Drosophila melanogaster: one gene and its partner. Changing the gene in region 2 together with the main gene of any one other region gives a genetic interaction. Each region holds a gene or a part of one and is shown on either strand. Other genes may lie near its edges. The genes, in order: SERCA and mbl.

Region 1 (8,066 bases), 6.7 Mb from region 2:
GCCACCGCCCAAGCAGGACAGATGGTGGGTCAGCTGCCAGTAGGACAGTTTGGGTCCCTCATCAGAGAACACGAACCACCAGGCGGCGGCACCGACGGTGGCAGCGCCGACATAGAATCCAATAGCCATGTAACTAAAAGTTCGATTGAGGCCAAGTTAATACCGATTAAAGGATGTGTGCTTTTTGAGTAACCCACCGGAAGAACAACCATCCGGAAATGAGACCCTCATCGGCCTTCCTGGGGGGCTTCTCCATGATATCCAGATCAGGGGGGTTGAAGCCCAGAGCGGTGGCTGGGAGACCATCAGTAACCTGTGACCAAGTACCTATTACTAACCATTTTAAGTAGTAAATACCCCATCAAGACGTACCAAGTTAACCCAGAGCAGCTGGACGGGAATCAGAGCCTCGGGCAGGCCAAGGGCAGCAGTAAGGAAGATGGAGACGACCTCACCAATGTTCGAAGAGATGAGGTAGCGGATGAACTGTTTCATGTTGTTGTAGATAGCGCGACCTTCTTCAACGGCAGACACGATGGAGGAGAAGTTGTCGTCAGCCAGCACCATTTCGGCGGCAGACTTGGCGACGGCGGTACCAGAGCCCATGGCAATACCGATCTCAGCCTTCTTCAGGGCGGGGGCGTCGTTCACACCATCACCAGTCATAGCGGAGATTTCGTTCATGCTCTGCAGGAACTCAACAATCTTGGACTTGTGCTGGGGCTCCACGCGGGAGAAGAGGCGGGAGCGGGCGACGGCAGCCTTTTGTTCGGTGGGGGAAAGGTCGTCGAATTCACGACCCGAGTAGGACTTGCCAGTGGTGTCCTCATCCTCGGCGAATACACCGATTCTGCGGCAGATAGCCTCGGCAGTGGCCTTGTTGTCGCCGGTGATCACAATAACACGAATACCGGCGGCACGGCAGCGGACAATGGAATCGAAAACTTCCTTACGGGGGGGATCCAACATGCCCACAACACCGACGAAGGTCAGGTTAACCTCATACTGGTAGAACTTGGTGGAGTCGCCCAGATCCATCTCGTCGGGCTTCATGGGGCTATCGGCAACGGCCAGAGCCAGGCAGCGAAGGGTGTCGCGTCCAGTACCGTACTGGCCGGTCAGGGCGAGGATCTTGGCCTTCAGGGCCGAGGTCAGAGGAACCTTGGTGGTGCCAACGCGGGCGTGTGTGCAACGCTCTAGAACACCCTCGGGGGCGCCCTTCACGAACAACTTGGGGCCAGTGCCCAGGCGGGAAGCCTTCAGGGGGGTGCAGTACGAGGACATGGATTTACGATCGCGAGAGAACTCCAGGGTGAATTCCTTCTTCCACTTGGTTTCGATCTCACCGCGGCAGGCGATGGCAGCCGAGCGGCGGTCCAGGCCAGACTTGTTCACGCTGAAGCTGTTCAGTTTCTCAGCCAGCACAATCAGGGCGGTCTCAGTGGCTTCGCCGACCTTCTCGAAGGCCTGCTTGAACTCATTGTAATCAATGGCGGAGTCGTTGCACATGATGCAGATGGTGGACAGTTCCTGCAGGGTATCGTAGTCAGCAGCCTTGATGCGCTGACCGTTGAGGAAGACCTCGCCGATGGGCTCGTAGGTGGAGCCGGTCATCTCGAATTCGAGGAAGCTGCTGTCGTTGCCTTCAACCTTGTCGAAGATGAACATGCGGGAAACGGACATTTGGTTGGTGGTGAGTGTGCCGGTCTTATCAGAGCAGATGACAGATGTGCAGCCCAGGGTCTCCACGGAGGGCAGGGAGCGGACGATGGCATTCTTCTTGGCCATGCGGCGGGTGCCCAGAGCCAGACAGGTGGTGATGACGGCGGGCAGACCCTCGGGGATGGCAGCCACAGCCAGAGCGACGGCGATCTTGAAGTAGTAGATGGCACCCTTGATCCAGGAGCCTCCGTGAGCGGGGTCGTTGAAGTGGCCGATGTTGATGGCCCACACGGCAACGCAAATGACGGAAATGACCTTGGACAGCTGCTCACCGAACTCGTCCAGTTTCTGCTGCAGGGGGGTCTTGATCTCCTCGGTCTCGGACATCTCAGTACGGATCTTGCCGATGGCGGTGCTCAGGCCAGTGCCGATGACGACGCCACGGGCCTTGCCGGCTGCGACGTTGGTGCCGGAGAACAGGATGTTCTTCTTGTCCTGGTTGACGGCGCGGGGATCGGGGATGGCATCGGTGTGCTTGATGACGGAGACCGACTCACCGGTGAGGATGGACTGATCGATCCTAAGGGTGGTCGAGTAGATGTGGGTGATACGGATATCGGCAGGGATCTTGTCACCGACAGACACCTCAACCAGGTCACCGGGCACGATCTCTTTCGCGCGCACCTTCTGGATGCCGGACTTGTCCTGGCGCACCACCTTGCCCATCTCAGGCTCGTACTCCTTGAGGGCCTCAATGGCCGACTCGGCGTTACGCTCCTGCCATACTCCCACCACGGCGTTGGCTATCAGGATAAGTAAAATAACTAGGGGCTCTACAAATGCAGTGAACGTTTCCTCGTGTTCCTCAAACAGGGCGAGAACCTGGGGATTGCAGAGGGGAAGAGTGTGGTCGTAACTAAGTTTTTGAGGGTGGGTTTCTTTGTGCTGCTGCACTTACAAATGAGATGATGGCTGCCAACAGCAGAATCTTCACCAGCAGATCGTCGAACTGCTCCAAGACCAGCTGCCAGATGCTCTTTCCTGTGGAATACAATCGTTATTATAATGTATGCATACAGTGAAGTGGGGGTGGGGGGCAGGGGATCTGCTCGGGTTGTGTTCGCACCTTCCTCAGTCGGCAACTCTGTAACGATAAGAAAACAAACACGTCAGTCGATTCGGTCTCGGAATGTGGAGGGGAATTACGCGCGACTCTCACCATTGGGTCCGTATTTCTTCTGGTTAGCCTTGATCTGGTCGAGGGTTAAGCCGCGCTCGGGGTCCGTTCCGAAGAAGTTGAGGGACTGTTCGACGGTTTTCGAGTGACCGTCTTCCATCTTGATTCGTTATCCTCTTCGTTCAGTGGCCTGTGTCCAGATTCCGGGGCGATTCAGGTGGGGATTTGAAAGTAGACACAAGGCAAGGGGCTCATTTTAATTCTCTGGCAGGGCTATTTAGCTATTTTGCCGTTTTCTGGGCTCTATTCAACGACTGACTGGAATAGCAAGTGTGTATGCACGTATGTATGCACATACATCTGTACTGGCATGTACGTTTGCAGTTAAAACTACCTCATTAGGTTCTGAATAAGTGGTCGTACATGTGCATGTGCACGGCACTCGGCTCACGGGTACTTTCCAACATACGCACATACACAGGTGCTACATGCTAATTCCCCGATTTCAGGCACTTCTGATCGGGCCCGGACTGGCCACTAAAGTCGCGCAGTTATCGCGCCAACTTAGGATCGGATTGTGCGGATCGGGTCGGAGAATATGCTGGAATATTGCATTACTATGATGGGCTGTTACCCTGGCCAAATCGCTCCGCTTATGAGATTCACACACGTGTCACTTCGCACAACAGACGCAGTTTTCGTTTTTCTATTCTCAGTTTCTGCGGGGGATTGGGGGATCTGGTCCGTAATACGGGTGCTCTGCTCCTACGTTAACCTCGCTAAACGACGCACTGCGTGTGTTAAGTACTTTTTTCCACTGACTCTCTATATAATATAACCCATGGCGCTTTTTTCTGAATATGTGTGCTGATAACTATTGCACTAAGTACCAAGCCGCGATTTACTGCCTATCGCCGTTCTGCCTCACTATGACACGACATTATTCGCACAAGACAGGGCTGACTGAAAACGTATATCGTCCGAGTTACGTTATTTGTGCAGAGCTGCCTCTTTCTCCAACTTTTAAGAATTCTCAGTCCTGGCAATTATTAGATAATTATCCCACCTTTTAGCTCAGCTTCTACTGACGCGTTCAATTTGTGCTACTAAACTGCGATAGCCGGCGTTATCGATAACTGAGAATCTCAACTGCGATGGCTAACTGTTGAGTTTCCGTGTTCAGTAATACCGATAGCTGAGGTGATATAGGAATTTAAAACTAATCAAAGTTTCGAAGGAATTCAGCTGTGCTGGAAAGTTTCTTTATTGGAAAATACCTCTAACCTTATAAATCAAGTTGTTATTGCGATCGAAAACCAAATGTTTTTACTCCCTTCTGTGGTGTAAATCGAACTGAAATCCTTATCACGAATGCTTAAACTTATTTATACATTGTCATATTTTCACTTGGCAAGCGACAGAGACATCCGCACTATTTTGGCCACACAACAAGCAACACTATTCTTTTCGCGCATTTTGTGCTCAAATTAATGAGATCGAGATCAAGAGCCCGCAATAAATAGATCTGGGTGCCAGGTATTCGCCAGCAGCGACATTTTTAAATTTTAATTTTAATCTTTTTCGCGACCAGACACTAGAATCAGGCCATACGGGGAATTTTGAACGGCAGCCAACTCGCATAATACTTGAATATTACGCTGGCTACGTCACAGAATTACATACGTAACTTCTGATAACGAGGTTTCCACCAGTTGCCCGCCCACAAAAGGCGTTAGTTTTCAAAAAACTGTCAATCAATGCGCTCGAATACTACTTATATTTTGAGCACAGAGACGTGTGTTTCGAAAACATCTTCATGCATATAGCCTATATATACCCCTAAAATACACATGTGTGTGTGCATTATGGAGCAAAAAATCGCCTCTGTCCGAGATGGGCTAAAAATAGAGTCCTAGCACCCGAAAAATACAGCTCAATTCTGAACACTCGTAGATATAAAGATATGTACTAGGACCACATAAATAAGTTTGAGTACATATACAGAGAGACGATCGTAGGGAGAAAGATTCCTATTCTGCGCGGTTATATGTACGATTTAACGGCTTATGATATTGCGAGCAGAGATATCTCCATGCTAATGGATGTCGACACTTGTGCGATATGCTGCTTCCCACGTCCCCGAATCCGAATTTCTGATTGACAAGTCCACCGATGGGTTGTATAATAGTGGGTGGGTGGGTTCAAAAATAAGTACAAATGATTGGGCCATGATCCTGGGCTGAATGTACTTATAGAGCTACACGTTTCTGTAAAACTGTCTGTTGGTTTCAGGGATCTTTTGCAACTGAAAGGCAGTCAAATTCACTAACCGATGTAACCACCATTAAGCTATGAATGCGGGTAGTTAAGGAGTTCAAGAGATCGTGTGTTCTATGCTTGTTACAAGGGCTACAGGTACAGTACAAGACATGGATCTTTCGAATTTGGGTACGAATATATTCGCCACGGTTGCGGTTGTGGTTGCATAACCAGATTTTCAATCACAGATACATAGATCTCGGGCACTTGGAAAACTTTACATCTGTGTCGGATCGAATCTATTCGTGGAGTGCTCTCGTATTGGTGACATTCAAATTTTCGATACCATCCGGAGGTCGAGGTCACCGCCGAATCGTCGCCCTTACGGATATTTCATGTATGTAGATAGATCGAACTACGAGCTCTGGACGAGCTCCAGGGTGGCAAAGTAAACTGGGGGCAAACACTTTGAGTTTGAAGCACGGTTTTCGAGTGTAAGAAGCATGTTCGTATGTAGATATGTAGGCATTTCAATAACTTTTGGTTTCCAGGTTTTCTTTTCTTTTGAAAGCGCGCGGACGAATTTTCGATAGTTTTTAGGGGGGTTTATTTGCTTTACCCAATGGTTTTGGCAGTTTGGAGTAATTCACTGGCGTATTCGCTTTGCAGTTGTTGCAGAAAATCAACAAAACTTACAATTATTATTCCTAGCAAAAATTCCGTTATTATATAATAATTTATTTCAGTCGGAAGACCAAGACACAAAGATCGCGCTATTATAACGATCAACGGCAACTGAACGCAAGGAGAACGCTGCGCGATGAGAGTGTCTATTTGAATTACAAAATTCATATATTTTGGCAAAATTCCCAAAACTACATACACTCTCTATTTTGGCCCGGGAAAATACTTTTAGCACGCACAAACTTTTGAGCACTTACCACCTATCCAATCCAATCCAATGCGATCCGAATTCGAATGGTGGCGGTTCAGATCTGCTCGTGCAGCTCGTTCGTACCTCGACGAGGCAGATTCACCGTGGTCCCCCAGAGATTCGTATATGTGGCTAGGTATAGGTGGGAATACCACAATACCACGGGCACACGAGCTCCCCATCCACATACATACATACGTACATATGGCCGCCCGATCTCGGATCCGCGGGAGCGCACGGCCACGAAAGTCTAGAGCAATGGCAATGTGGCGATGCGAGATCACTTGTGGACGTGGATGTGGTTGTGGATGTGGATGTGCCTGGGAGTGTGAGTGCAGACGTATTCCGAGAAATGCACGTGTGTTTGTCTAATATTTAGAAAGTGGTATTTTTAAACCAATCTGGGGAAATTATGCTGGGTTGTGTGGAAGGGTTTGTCACTCAAAGGTGTTTCTACCTTCGGTGTCAGCCACTTCAAGTGGGTCAAGACTTGGGTCCTTTGGTGGGGGGATGGTTGGGAATGATGGCACTGGCACTGACGCATTCCACTTTCGCCGAGCTAGAATCCATCATAGTTATCCATAGCTGCTGCCCTTTGAATATTTTACTTGTCCTTGGCAAATACAACAGATCCCAAATCCCAGCCCAAATACTCATTTCCTCAATCTAGTTGATCTCGATCCATTAACAGCTGAAAGAGCATCCACCAGTCGGCCTGCGAACCCCTAGTTCTTCGTTTGGCTTTTCTGCCTTTTTCCCCAATTTCAGCAGAGACTGGCAGCCGTCGACTATTTTTATTTATAGGCTTGTAATGCCCCTACGGACTCGGACTCTCAGATATTGGCAAGAGCGCTCTCCGCACACGTTTCTGCCGTATGATATCCGCCATCAGCCATCCGCCTTGTGCAGCAGCTATTACGACTTTTCACAGAGACCCCCATAAATATGCATTTGGCTACTATTTTACCTCTATATGTCTAGGCCAGAACTTTTATAAGCTACCTATGTGTATATTTAAAAATGTTGATAAATGACAATGCAGCCAGGAATTTTGATTTATTTTGGGACTGGCAAATCTGGGTTTGATGCGGTTGTCAACCGCTGGATATTGTCTATTTAGGAACTCGGTATATGGTAATGGTTCCAGATTCCAGCAATCTCAAGCAATCAAGCGAAGTGATCATTTAAAAACAAATACAAACTGCAAAATAATGTTTTTTAACACTTAATTGCCTTATAAATGATAACTTTTATTGCATAATGCTCTGGCCAATCTTCCTTTATAAAAAAGGGATATTAAAGTAAAAACAGGCAAAATATATTGAATTCAAATGCATTTTGAATCATTTCATCAATCGGCAAAACACTACTTATGCTGCCTCTTATTACACAACCATTTGCCAATTATTCATTTTTTCATAATTTCAAATTGCGTAATAACAAAGAGAAGACATCGCCACCCTTAACATCAGATCAATCACCTAGCCAGTTCCTCCTAAAATCTCTACGTCACGAAAGTATTTAGGTCCAAAAATAGAGCCACAACTGAAAGTTATCACATACATTACTATTTACTTGCGTTAACATTTAGTATATTCTAATTGACAACTAAATATGTACATATTTCAAAGTCAGCTCTCGTGTAAGCATTTACGTTTTGGTGGAGAAAAGGTAGGAATCCTTTTGACCAGAAGTCAATTTCGCAGCATTCTCACTGCCCACAATGTTACTCAAGCTTAGCAGATCGTACTTTGTGTACAGGATACTGACGGACATTTCGTCCCCAAATCCATCGCGCGGATTTTGATTTGTCTTCAGCATCAGATTGATGATCTCGGAATAGAAGTGCGGAAAGTTGGGCGGCTGGTACATGATCAAGTTCCGGATGCCCTTAATCCGCGTGCGCCGGAAGAAGTGCGCTCTTTCCGAGTACAACAGAACAGATGCCCCGCTGTGGAAGAATATATCTCTCGCCCGGGAAATCTTTTCTTTCTTGGTGTACTCATTTATCTGCACAAAACTGACCATTTCGGT
Region 2 (4,946 bases):
GTTTTGAGCTTTCTAGCGATTTAAGGCTAGACCTTTTTATACCTTTCGTCTGAACTCTGACACCTTTTCGAGTGCTGTCATCTCGCATCAAAACTGAAATCGCGAGCCGAGCAAACAAACACGGACATATACAACGCTATTTCCACACTTTCGACAACCGAAAGGGGGTGTTCCTATCGATATTTACGACCTATTGAGAAGAGCTTAAAGCACAAAACCCTCTTACTACAAGTCAAACACATATTTCTCACAGCGACGTTTTTTCTTGCCTCGTCTTTTTGTACTGCGGCATGAGTTTTTGGCGAAAAATCGAATCGATTAGTCATGCCAAAAGTCCTCAAGTTTTCATACCAATCCCCTTCACCAACAAAATATAAAACCGTCTTGTGGCATTCGTGGCGTTTTGTAGTTATGGTTCGAGTTTGATTTTTTGAGTACGTTCGGAGGAGAAAAAGTGAATGACTTGTCAGAGTGTATTGAACAAATGGACAGAAATAATAATTCATTTTTGGCATTTTCCAAACGATTTCTTTGACTCATATTTCTGCAGCAACACATTTTTGACACTTTTGTTGATGATGATGGGTAAAAATGAAGAGTAAAAATAAAAACGAAATGTGTCAAACTTTTGCTTTTTGTTTTCCAGTTGCCAGCGGGCAGAGCTAATTCAATTTGCATATCTGAACTGGAGGAAAACGAAACAAATCGGAAAAATTATAATAACAATCTTTTTGCAACTGAAACCGAAGCTAGGACCGAAATAAACATAAATTTAATGGTTACGACTTGGCAAGAGCGAGGGGTGTGGGTTTTTAGGTGGAGAACCACATAAAAAACGTGACTTTTCGTTAAAATAAAATCTATGTATTTGCATGTGCGAGTACAGTGCGTTTCGGGATCGTATTTCCCATTAATTCGTCTCTAAGACCCTAAAATGAAATCGATTTGCAGTGTCAGAACAAATGCGGTAATTGAATCAGTTTCGTTTAACAAAATAATCACATTAAATTTAAGAATCATGTCTGTTTTCTGTTCGGGTGTCTAAGCCCATTAAATATCGTAAGCTTTCAAAACAATTTGATTTAGCCATTAATTCCGTAATTGCCTGTTTGCAGGCGTTTTGTTTTATTGTCACGTGTGTTTCTTTACAACTGGCTAACAGTGTTGAAACGCACAGTAAAAATCGCTCGACTTAGATGTATTTTTTTTTTCTCCATTTTGTTTGTTTAATAGTCTAGGCCTTGTCCGGCTTTAGAATAAAAATGGCTAAATTTGCATTATATTACAACGCGAATATTTGTAGTTTTTACCGTGCTTTTAAGTTAATTAACTCCACAGATGATATATATTCATGTTAAGCTGTTAGGGCGCTTTCGCAAATAATGTGGATATATTTAACGTATTTAATGCCCAATAATGTGGAATAACCATTCCCATTTTCACTCTGACAAATTTGGTTTGCAATTTGTTGAATTTTAATTATTATTTCACAGTTCATTAGGCTCAATTTCAATTTGATTTTCGGTCATTAAGCTTTACCAAGCCAAGTGAACGAGATGTGCATTATTTTAACAGATTAAGCAAGTTTTTTTTAATGATTATAATACACTTATTAATGCAGAATTTATATTTTTGGCCGTGTAAAGTAGTTTGTTTTCAATAATAAATGTATATTTGTGTATATTGCTCCGTACTTTTTTATATTTTTTGGCCTGAACAAATTTGGTAAATAGAATTTTGTTGTTAAATTATTTAAATCAAACAATATAAATTAGCCTCCGATATATATGCATATGCATCTCTGTAATATTGAATACGTCAATGTTTCTGCACCTTATTCAGCACTAAATAGACTCTAAGTAAGTGACTTCTTTTGCAACACTGTAATTATAAAACACTACCAATGAGACTTTATGTATGTTGAAATTAACTTTTTTTTTTAAACTTTAAATACCGAAGTTTTATTGGATGGATACTACACTTTAAAACTACATACACCTTATTAACTTTGAAAAACATTAGTTTCCTTTACGTTTACTTATGTTAATTTTCTCCCATTATTTCTTCTTCTCCAGTCTTGAGAACAACTTTCCTTACAATATTAAGTTTTCCCTGTCATGAAACAGAATTTCCGACTTTTCACTTGGCATCACCGAAAATTCGACAGCAATAACAAACAAGACCACGAAATGTGGCAAGAAAGGGAAGAGACAAACCGATGGATAGAAAAAAAACATAAACTTAAGACGAAGGCGAAAAAAGAGAGAAAACAAAAGGAAAAAAACACAACGATCTCTTTTTTTTTTGTTTTTAAGTATAAACACCTTCGGTTGTCCAGCTGACTTGTTGTTGTTGCTGCTGGCGAAGTTGAAGTTGTTGAAATTGTTGTTGTTGGGTGAAAAAGCGGCTGCTGTTTTATTTTCTTGTATTTGTTTATTGTTTTACTTTTACGCCGATGGTGAATTGAAAATGTATTTTTAACCTTTTTTTCTCGACGCTCCGTGGTGTGTGTGTGAACTAAACACGCGCGTTGTTGCAGAAGCTGTTGTTATCGTTGGTTTTTAAGATGCCGGCTAAAAACAATGGATTTTGCGATTTTTCCGGACAATTTCCCTGCAGCGCTTGCACTATTTTTCTTGAATTTTCACGAACGACTTTCGACAACTTCTTTTTTTCTCCTTTTATTATCTGTCACACACAGAAACGAACACACGCAAACACTCTTACTGAGCACCTCACATACACGTGCACTCGCGTTGTTGTTTTTTTAGTTGTATTTTTGACAAATTTTTCCGCGTTTCTAGAGTTGTAGGCTAAAACTTTTTTGATGACGGCGTTTTGCAGAATTGTGATTATTTCTGTTTGCGGTGACTGAGCAGAAAGTATTGTGTTTGTTATTATTTAGCTGAGAGCTGCTATTTCTTTGATGGGGTTTTCTTGAGTTTTTCAGGCAGGCTCTGGTATAATTCACTTTTCCGCTGACAGAACCGCTTCCATCGAAAAATTTTTCGAAACTGAAAGCAGCAATATTTTTCTGGTCATTCCATTCCAATTCGACTCGAAACTCTCTCGCTCTCTTTCACTCTCTGCCTGTCATTCTCTTTCGCTTACGCTTGCACTGTGGGGCAAAAAACCACATACTGTGGCATTTTAGTAACTTCAAAACGTTGTAGCATATAAGAAGTGGAAAAGATATTCCAATTTATATATTATTTTGTATATTAGTGTATAAATGCTTGACTAACTCTTTTCGTCAGCTTAAATTTTATAGGTGTCAACTGTTGCAATCAAACTGTCAACCCTCCATTCAGTACGAAAAAGTGTTTGTTTGTCCCACAGTCCGACGAGCTCTCTTGTGTGCTCTTAAAGAGTACTTTTATCCAATGAAGAGAGTTCGAGTGTTTTTGGTTTTGTTGATTACCGAGGGGGGTTTTTAGGGGTTGCCGAGTTCAATGAAGGCGAGTCGAGTTGACAATCAACTAAAAGGTTAACTGGCCAAAAGTAGACAGACTTAAGCTTTTGGCGTAGGTTGCGGACTATAAAATAGCCTGGCAACTAATTTTTGCAAATCGGTGACTAAATTAACGGTAGAAACTAGATAATGTATTTTTTGTGGCTCTCTCAAGCCTTCGATAAATCTTTTTTTTTTAGGTGATAAAAAAATTTAAATGTGTAAAACTATAGATAATAATAGATAATAAATATGGACATATAAATAGACATTTTAGGAATTTTAATTTCTAAAAATCTTTACAATTTTGACACAAGTGATTGGGCACGTTATAATTATTTAGGGCTTATGTATATTATAATTATTATATTATAATTATGCTTAGTGTCATAAATTTGCTTTGATGATTTTCTGTTCATTTTAAGTCGTCAGCTTAAGTACGTACATATACAAAACAATTATCTTTTATTTTTGGAAATTTTCATTATTTTTGCTAAGACCCCATTAAAAAAGGTTTTTTGTAAATCTTGAATATGTATAAACCTGCACCTTAAAGAATATAATTATTAAATTATTTTTAACAAAAAACCATTTGTTCTACTTATTCATGCAATGGCCAGGTACATTTTTGAAAAATACCATTGCTCTAATTGTTCACACACCGCAATGATAATTAATGTTTGCTTGCAGTTTCCATTTGGGCCTAAGGACAGAAATAAGTGAACTTAGTGAATTGGAACTTTGTTCGCTCTGTCAAAGTCACCTTCAAAATGTGTTCGATATGTTCTAAATCATTTACGTAAATGCATCCCATCCATAACGGTATAGCTATATATCCGAATGCAGCCCAGCGGGCCAGAAATAGAAATATGTAACGCACACACACAGCCACAACTCTTGACATTTCTATGTCATAAATTTGTTTCGTTCTTTGGATTTTTTGGCAACAAAAGATATGGTCCTAACACCCCCCACATGGCAATTAAAATATGTGGTGTAGGCGTGGAAAGGGGGGAATACCACTAACGCACACCATGCACCACTCCGTGTAGGTTAATTGTAATAAAAAGTGAATGTAAGCGATTTCAAGAACGAAAAAAACGAAGTCCAACGAGAACTGGCATGTGAAAGCCAAATCCATATGAAAGGGGATAGAGAGAGAGAGAGAGAGCGACCCGACCCGAACCAGATGCAGATCCAGATCGAGGAACGCCCCCGCAATGATTTTAGCTCCACTATACGGTGGATATACCCCGCCCCCACCAGGATTTGATTTTTATTATTAGAAGTCCATCGGTGTTTGTGTGAGTTCACTATTTTTAAACGATTTCAAATTGGAGTTTTTGTCAGTGACCCGAAAGAGAAACAAAGATCGCTAATGGAGCTCGGGGGCAAGTGAAAGGTTTTTTGGTCTGCAAATTATGCATAATGAATTACATGAATTACAATCGCGAACTGAAGGAGTGGTAAGCGTGGATGAAGCAAATAATGAGTT

The links.
Region 1: of mbl (region 2) and SERCA, changing one suppresses a phenotype caused by changing the other (phenotypic suppression), as found in Drosophila melanogaster (one study listed by BioGRID).

What each region holds. Positions count from the first base shown.
Region 1 is NT_033778.4:23,929,786-23,937,851, forward strand, and holds the start of SERCA (Sarco/endoplasmic reticulum Ca(2+)-ATPase), read right to left. Parts: upstream 6,100-8,066; 5' UTR 6,040-6,099; intron 5,896-6,039; exon of another isoform or gene 5,795-5,895; intron 4,300-5,794; exon of another isoform or gene 4,124-4,299; intron 3,956-4,123; exon of another isoform or gene 3,906-3,955; intron 3,660-3,905; exon of another isoform or gene 3,030-3,659; 5' UTR 3,000-3,029; coding exon 2,882-2,999; intron 2,807-2,881; coding exon 2,789-2,806; intron 2,704-2,788; coding exon 2,621-2,703; intron 2,545-2,620; coding exon 373-2,544; intron 314-372; coding exon 198-313; intron 134-197; coding exon 1-133. Other genes in the region: CG3735 (uncharacterized protein), read right to left, coding at 7,683-8,066. UniProt on the Drosophila melanogaster protein: This magnesium-dependent enzyme catalyzes the hydrolysis of ATP coupled with the transport of calcium.
Region 2 is NT_033778.4:17,263,590-17,268,535, reverse strand, and holds the start of mbl (muscleblind), read right to left. Parts: upstream 3,019-4,946; 5' UTR 2,325-3,018; intron 1-2,324. UniProt on the Drosophila melanogaster protein: Required for terminal differentiation of photoreceptor cells. Vital for embryonic development.